2 linked regions of the Drosophila melanogaster genome follow. The protein of the gene in region 2 purifies or fractionates together with the protein of the main gene of each other region. This does not show direct contact. Each region holds a gene or a part of one and is shown on either strand. Other genes may lie near its edges. The genes, in order: Br140 and elg1.

Region 1 (3,600 bases), on a different chromosome or scaffold from region 2:
CGTCCTTAACCGTGTCCATGGTCATGTAGAGGCCCGCTTGCTGTGCGCATGTAACGTGGAAGGCGGCGTAGCAGCTGTTCCGATGGCACTGGATGCAGGCTCCCAAGCCCTTCTCCTTGCACACGTAGCAGGTGAGTCGCCAACGAGCGGGGGGAATGGTCTCAATTGAATCTATAAAAAGAACTCAGATGTTATTTGGAACTGGGATCAAAGAAACTGGGAGATCGAGCTACGCACCTATTGGCTCCAGAAAGACGGTGTTGGCGAACCGCACTTCCGGTATCCAAAGCGCACACACCACGTGCGCCCACTGCCCGTGGTCCGTCTGCTTGAATGCGCCGCCCGCATTGGGACAGAGCACACAGTTCACAGGCTTACTGGGTGACTGCAAGCATCGGCGGCACAGCCACTGGCCCTCCGGGATATAGGGGACACCGTAGCAGTCCTGGTGTACCGCCAGGTTGCACATGTCGCAGAAAAGTATCACGTTGGTGTTTTGGCACTCGCCGTCGAGGCAAATGCAGCAGACTGCGTCGTCGTCCACCTCGACGCCTGTGGGTGTGCCGTTGGCCGCCGCCTGGAAGTGCGACTCCTTCTCCAGCCGGTCCATCAGCAGCTCCATCGTGTCGATGCCCACGGCGTTCAGGCCGAGTCGCTGGCGCTCCTCGTTCATGTGCTCCAGCCAGGCGGAGTCCTCCTCGTCAACGTCGTACTCCACCTCCCCGTCCAGCTCCTCCAGGGACTTTTCGATGAAGCGATAGTAGGCCAGCGGCCGTGGCGGGGCGTCGGACACTCGGTAGTCCGGAATCTCGGCCACCCTGGCCACGGGCACCTGGACCCTTGCCCAGGGCGCGTTCTCCTCCAGCGGTGGTGCGTCGGCATTCAGAATACAGCCCCTGGCCACTAGGGCGGCGAACTCTTCGTCCTCTACGAGCGGCAAGGCGTCGTCGATGCCCAGGCGCACGCTCTTCCCGTCCAAGTTAAACGTCACCGTGGCCTCCTCCTCGTTGTAGGACACCAGTGACTCTGGATTGGCGTACTGCCGGGCGCTGACTCCGCTCGCCGATCCACCTCCTGCGCTGGCCGAGGAGCAGCCGTTTCTGGCCTCAGCTCCACCGCCACCCGGCGTGGGGTGATCCTTGTGCGGACGAGGCGTGGAGTGGTGGCCGCCGGAGCGTGAGCGCGCCTTCTTGCGGCTCGGAGTCAGCACGGGCGTGAGCGGCTGTGGGTTGTCGTGGTCGTACTTCATAAGATGGTATTGCAGACCCATGATGGTCTTGTAGCTGCGGTCGCAGCCGCGGACGGGACAGGCGAAAGGCGGCTGGGACTGCTGGGTCTTCACCCCTTTGCAGTATTCCACTGCGTCGAAGTCGAGGCCCATGATCTGGATCTGCGGCGCGATCTGTGGATCTGCTGCAGCTGGCTTCTCGGGGTTTGGCGGTTCGCTGGTCGCGGATCGCGGGCACTGTGTCTACTCCGCGGCACGGCTGCGCATACGTATGTGCATCCCACGGTGGTCGTCGCAGAGCGCGCGGTTTTGGCTGTCCACCGTTCCTGGTCGATTTTCGTTGGCTTGTTGCAAATTTTTTAACAAATGTGCTAGAGATGGGCTTGCTGGTCAGCTCGCCATGGCGATACTATCGTCGGAAGTGCTTGTGCAGCACTGGACGTTTGCTGAAACTTGTTTGAAATATTTCCGGTCCTTTACGCAAATTAATTCTCTTCCGTAATCTATATTTATAATTTAAATGTTCCTTTTTGTTCTTTCCCTTACCATTTTCCCTCAAATTTGTTTACAATATGTTTTTTGGGGAGCCGTGCAGCACTGCTTTCTAGAGATGGTAGTGGCGGGAACGTATTGGAACTGGTTCACCTAATGTTATACTTTCAAAATTTACAGGGCTAGAAATCCAGTACGTAACTATTTAAATAACCCAATAATATTATTTTAAAGAATTCAAATAAATATCTCCCAATATTCACTCAAAAAACAAGTTTTGGTTGTGTTTTTCATTTTGCGCGGGAACTTTATCGCCCGTGCAGTGTTGGAAAGCAGAGGCATAAATGCGCCTTACAGCACCCGACGAGCTGTTAACTGTCAACAGTGCACAATTAAAGGCATGTTATCAAATGCTGACGCGCGTCGCAATTGCCGCCATTTGAAAAAAACGATAAAATCGAAGGAACCGAATCCGGATTTGCAGTTTGTCAGATACAGTCGCTAGATATGGAGGACATCTTGGGCGTGCTGGGCTCGCTTTCGGACCTGCGCAGGGAGCTCGAGGTCCTGCGCAAGGTAAGCCAGGATCAGGAGACGAAATTCCGACACTGTCAACATGGCGTCATATGTGTTTTTTAGGCCCACTTTGAGGAGCTGGACCACCTCTTCTACGGCACAGGCCAGCCGGAGGCGGAGGCCAAACCGAGGGACAGTGCTCCGGCAGCGAAGAGTCAGGAGAACTCTTCGGTGACGCCGCAGCAAACGAAAAAGCGCCCCAAGCGACTCACCTCACTGGCCGAGGATCAGAATGAGCCCGAGGGTGAGTATCCTGGCCATTTTAAAGCATTAACGACCAACAACCCCTGTGATATTCCATTTGAGCAGCTCCAGACGCCACGGCCAACAACACGTCGGCCCGTCAAAGCACTCGGGTCAGCAACTCCCAGTTGCTGGCTATCGCCGAGGACGAGCACAACTCCACGGCCTCGCTGATGCCGCCTCCGCCTGTGCCCGTCTCGGCGGACACCACCCTCGGCTCCGGAAGGCCACAGCGAGCCGCTAAGCTGAAGACCGAGAAATTACTCAAGGAGCCCTCACTCAACCGTAAGATGCGGCGGCCCAGCAGCGAGGAGCTCGTAAAGGTCAAGGTTGAGAGCGAGCAGCGAGTCTCCCAGTTTAACAGCTTCACCAGTGCACAGGCGTTAGAGGAAAATAAACTAGCGGAGCCGGAACTAGAAGAGCCAGCAGCAGAAACAGCTGAGCAGCAAAAGCCTCCGGAGGAGGCCTCAGTCACAGAGGACGTGAACACCACGAAGACACTCCGCGTGAAGGTAAAGCGCGAGAAACTCAGTACCGAAGCAGTGCCCCCGTTAACCAATGCGGTCTCCACGGCAAATGTGACCACCGTCTCCTCTGTAACAACGGAGGCAGCGCGACCGGACGATACGGTGGCCAGCAACACGACGACATCCACGGAGGTCTCCAAGAAGGTCCGCAAGAAGAAGAAGGACGTGGAAAGCCACCGACCCATAAAGGTGGAACGATTCAGCGACCTGGACAAGAGCTCGCCAGTCTCGTCGCGCACGCGCAAGTGTAGCAGCGATTCGCGAACGGTTCAGGAGCGATCCATATACAAGGATGCACTCGAAGATCCGCCCGTTGCAGAGCAATCAGTGGCTGCAGTTGCTCCGGCTGCTGTCAATGAGACCGTGGCGATTTCCAACGCCACCCTCGTACTGGGTCCTGCGCCGACGAGCGATAGTCCAATAGGACCAGCTGGAGATGCCACTTTTGAGGTGCACTCCAACGACAAGAAACAACCTCTGAGTAAGCAGGACAGCCTCTTAACGGAGGACGAGTCGGTGGAGGAGAAGCTGCCG
Region 2 (4,128 bases):
CTCCGTAAAGAGCAGCTCGCCATTCGGAGCGGAAGGCGGTGGTTTCGCCTCCTCTTCGTTCTGTGCCATATTCTGCTCCATTGAACGGCGAGTGCGACGTGTTACCACCAGTGATTCTCCCATTTGCTGCGTATCCTGTGCACTGTCAATGGCGCTGAAGTGGCGATACTTCTCCCTCATCTGGTTATAGCACTTAAAGGTGGGAAACCGATCGAAATCATTCTTCCAGAGCTTCACAAAGCCACGTTTATTTTCCAGCTGTGGCAAAGTTGCATAGTTGAACTTGTTCAAAGTTTTGCTGGATGTAAAATCCGCGGGCAGACAGCTGGTGATGCTACTCGCTTTGGCACGTCGTTTGTTGGCGGGTAACGCTTTCGTAACCTCGGAATATTCCTCTTCTGCCCTCAGAGCAAAGGGAATGTCCAGAGGACCGTTTTTTGAACCGAAGCTCTCGCAGCCTATATGCGCCAGTCTGGGAAACACTTCATAGCTATCTTCGTACATCTGGTCGAAGTTCTTTTGACGGATCTGCTCCTGTCGAATTTTGTCCGGAACTCCGGATTGCAGAAACGCCTGTCGAGCCTTCAAAACCGACGGATCTGGGCTGGGCTTTGGCAATTGACGGACGAATAGCGGCGCTAGTTTCTTTGGTGTGGCAGCTGGATTACTATTGTCTAGGTCAATAATCTCTACAGACTCGTCTGCCTTTTGGGGCTTCGCCTTTTGTTGCTTGCCGGGACTCGTTTCCAGATCGTAATCGTAGCGCGCTTTGCCCACACACGATCGTCTTGGTCTTGACGAGGGAGTGGATTCGGCTACAATGGGTGTCTCTTGCTGGCTCTTTCTGCGCAGTGTTCTTCGCTTGGGTGTCTCCATGGGTGGGGTTTCTATCGCAATGATCACCTTTTCAGCTAACTCCTTCGGGGATTCCACTTTGGGAAAGTAGCCCAGCAGGCTGTCACGCTTTTTCGTGGGCGACGAAAGCTTCGAGAGAAGCTCCTCTGTTCCTGGATCTTGATCTTTTGCTTTCACGACCGGGGGCTTCGATTCCACAATTTGGTTCTGTGCATCCATGGAACTGATTCGTCGAGAGCGCGGTCGACCTCTTAGACGCTTGACTGTTGGATCCGTGGGTGCCGAGGATGGAGCCGTCACCTCTTTGGCGTCAGTCTTGGTCAGCATTTTTCGCAGTCTAGGGAAATAAAATGTTGTATAGCGCTCTGAATCTAATTCTTAATCAAACTCACCTCTTTGCCCTTTGCTCCATCTGCAGCTCAATGAACTCCCCGCGAGCTTCGTCCGCTAGTCTTCTCTTGGCTCCCCCCTTGCGTTCGTTCCATTCTTGGAGGAGAAGCTTCCGTTTGGTGGTCGGCGTTGCTGCCTCACTGCCGATTTCTTGATCCGCGGGAGATTCTGCCCCACCTTCATTAACCCCCAGAGAGCGATTCCGAGCATTCATCATGAACTCAAAGACATTGGTGGTTGGCTTCGGTTTGGCTGTGCTCACCGGAGAAACACCCACGTTCTCCGGCTTTCCCGCCTTGGCGAAGTGCTTCATGATGCTCTGATTGTCGGCCACCGGAGTGCTGGACTTCAGCGGACTGGACCGCCGCCGACCGTTCTTGAGACCGTTTTCTTGGGAGGATTTCTCGCGAAGTGGCTGCGGTTTCTCTTTGGCATTCGCCTTGACCTCCTCGGTGGTGCTCTTCTGGTCCTCCATGAGTGCTGCGCGGCGCTTCTCCTCCCGCTTTCGCTTGTGCTTCTCCCGATGCTTCTGCTTCACCGAGTTCAGCACTTCCTCCATGTTCTGGAGTATCAGTTTGGATTTGGCGCTGGGCGGTGCTCTCAGAACGAACGGAGATGTGGGCTCGACGGGATCCGTGGCCGCATTTTTGGAGGGAGTTCCTGGTGGACTCGCAGTGGTCGTTGTGGGTGCAATGTGCTCACTTGTAAGACAATTTACATCGGTCATTTTTGTGGGTCTCTTTTGCTGTTTTCTTTTTGGGTTTAGGCTTAATGCATTTTGCTGAGTGTGTGCGTGTGTTTGTGTATGGTGTGGTATTCTTTTGTAAGATCTAAGTACTTAAGCAATTGATATATCTACAGATAATACGAAAGCCAAACTCAAAAGATCGCAAATGAAGATCGGGGGCAAAAGCAAAAACATGACAACAATACAATAATAATGAGATCTACCTTCGCAGCGACTTTTCGTTTTTCGTATTTGTTACACTCCCGCACACGCACACACACTGCCGCGATCGAACTGGTGTCCCGTTGATCGCGATCCTCTTTCTAACGGTACTTGGGCCTCAATATGTTATTACTTTCCGGTGTCTACTTTATGCGTTAAATATCATTTTATACAAGTTTGCTTAAGGTATAAATTGTTAGCACAATGTGCTGGGGGGAAAAAAGGCGCGAAGAAACGGTGTTGGTAAACAGTGGAGGGGTAACTATTTCCAGCACTGATCGGCCAGGCAGAAATTAATTTGTTGCACTCTCATTTATGCTTTTTAATAATTTGTTTGTAAATTTCTATTTTTACTTTGTGAAGTAATGATTTTATATTAATAATATAATTACCAAGACTAAACGGAATAATTATAAGGTTGTGTATTAGTAGAGAACAAAAACAGAATGAAATACATTTGTAGGAATCACCTAATATTTAATTATATTTTATATTATATTAATTATAATTATATTTGTTCTTTATACAATTTTATACATTGTATTTTATAGTTTTATTAAATATTCCCGCTTAAAAAATAAAATGTTGTTTCTATTTAAATTACCGCAGCTGTTGGTGGTAATTTAGATGACCTGATTCGATTTGGTATTATGGGAACTTTTCCAGATTTGGTCACACTGCCCTTTACACTGTTTTGGTTTTCGTGAAAATGTCCACATACTACTTTGTTATTGTGGGTCAAAATGATAATCCCATTTACGAGAAGGAATTCAGCACCGTGAACAAGGAACTAAGGGTATGTAGACCTGGGCAACGTCTCATAGAACTGTGTAAATACATTCTCCTTCTGCAGAAAGAGGACCACAGGCACCTCACCCAGTTTATTGCCCATGCCGCCTTGGATTTGGTGGATGAGCACAAATGGAAGACGGCCAATATGCAGCTGAAATCCATTGATAGATTCAATCAGTGGTTTGTTTCGGCCTTCATCACAGCCAGCCAAATACGATTCATCATCGTTCATGACAACAAAAACGACGAGGGAATCAAGAACTTCTTTAACGAGATGTATGACACGTATATCAAAAACTCCATGAATGCCTTCTATCGCATCAACACACCCATTAAATCTCCGATGTTTGAGAAGAAGTCGGAGATCTTTGGTCGGAAGTATTTGTTATCATAAATTTGTTAAAACCTGTAGCCATTAAGTAATTGTGTAATATAAAACTTGAAATAATTTAAAAGCATAACTTTACCCTTTCTTATACAGTTGAGAAGACCCGAAACCAATGAATAATCTAGTTTATATTTTATTTAATTTATTTAGAAAAGCAGCCTAGGCTTAACATTGATGGACTTGTTTTATTCACTTTTTACTCAATGCGCCCTCGAATCAAATCTAAAACGATTTAACGCCCGTCTCCAGACGACAGTCCCAGACTGGAGTAAATTAGATGTGTGGGTTGAATAGATGAACAACGCATGGAATCAATTTGAAACTAAAGCAACAAAATATACGGAATTTGTAATGGGTCTTTGCAAAGAAATCTCTTGGTGGTGGCGAGGAAACCGTCCGTCCTGCAGCTTAGTGCTTCTTGTTCTTTCCAGAGCGCTCATATTTGCTCTTGGACTGGTGCCACAGAGCCAGAGGAATGGCCAGGGAAGGCAGAGTCATCACGGCGAAGGCCACCCAGTCGAAGAAATGGGAGGAGAAGCGCTTGTTGTACTCGTTCAGGTTGACAATTCCACCCTCACCGGGCTCAGAGCTGACCGCCAGTTGGAGCTGCAAGAATTGTTGGGTATTAAGTTCTTTGATCGATCTTTCAACAGGTAACGGGCATTTTTAAAAGACTGTTGTGTATAAATTCACTTAGTTGAGATTATTAAATTTAAAAGTGAATGATTTTGGTTTGCTTTGGCGGTGGCTTCTG

Evidence for each region.
Region 1: the proteins of elg1 (region 2) and Br140 purify together in Drosophila melanogaster (affinity purification with mass spectrometry; 3 studies listed by BioGRID, with this or other methods). This does not show direct contact.

The regions. Positions count from the first base shown.
Region 1 is NT_033778.4:7,276,502-7,280,101, forward strand, and holds the start of Br140 (Bromodomain-containing protein, 140kD), read right to left. Parts: upstream 1,601-3,600; 5' UTR 1,382-1,600; coding exon 238-1,381; intron 172-237; coding exon 1-171. Other genes in the region: Incenp (inner centromere protein), read left to right, coding at 2,228-2,296, 2,360-2,540, 2,606-3,600. UniProt on the Drosophila melanogaster protein: Scaffold subunit of the histone acetyltransferase (HAT) Enok complex which has histone H3 acetyltransferase activity.
Region 2 is NT_037436.4:16,130,358-16,134,485, reverse strand, and holds the start of elg1 (enhanced level of genomic instability 1), read right to left. Parts: upstream 2,459-4,128; 5' UTR 1,973-2,458; coding exon 1,248-1,972; intron 1,193-1,247; coding exon 1-1,192. Other genes in the region: Trs20 (TRAPP subunit 20), read left to right, coding at 2,904-2,990, 3,048-3,380; SsRbeta (signal sequence receptor beta), read right to left, coding at 3,783-3,980. UniProt on the Drosophila melanogaster protein: Has an important role in DNA replication and in maintaining genome integrity during replication stress. Promotes PCNA deubiquitination.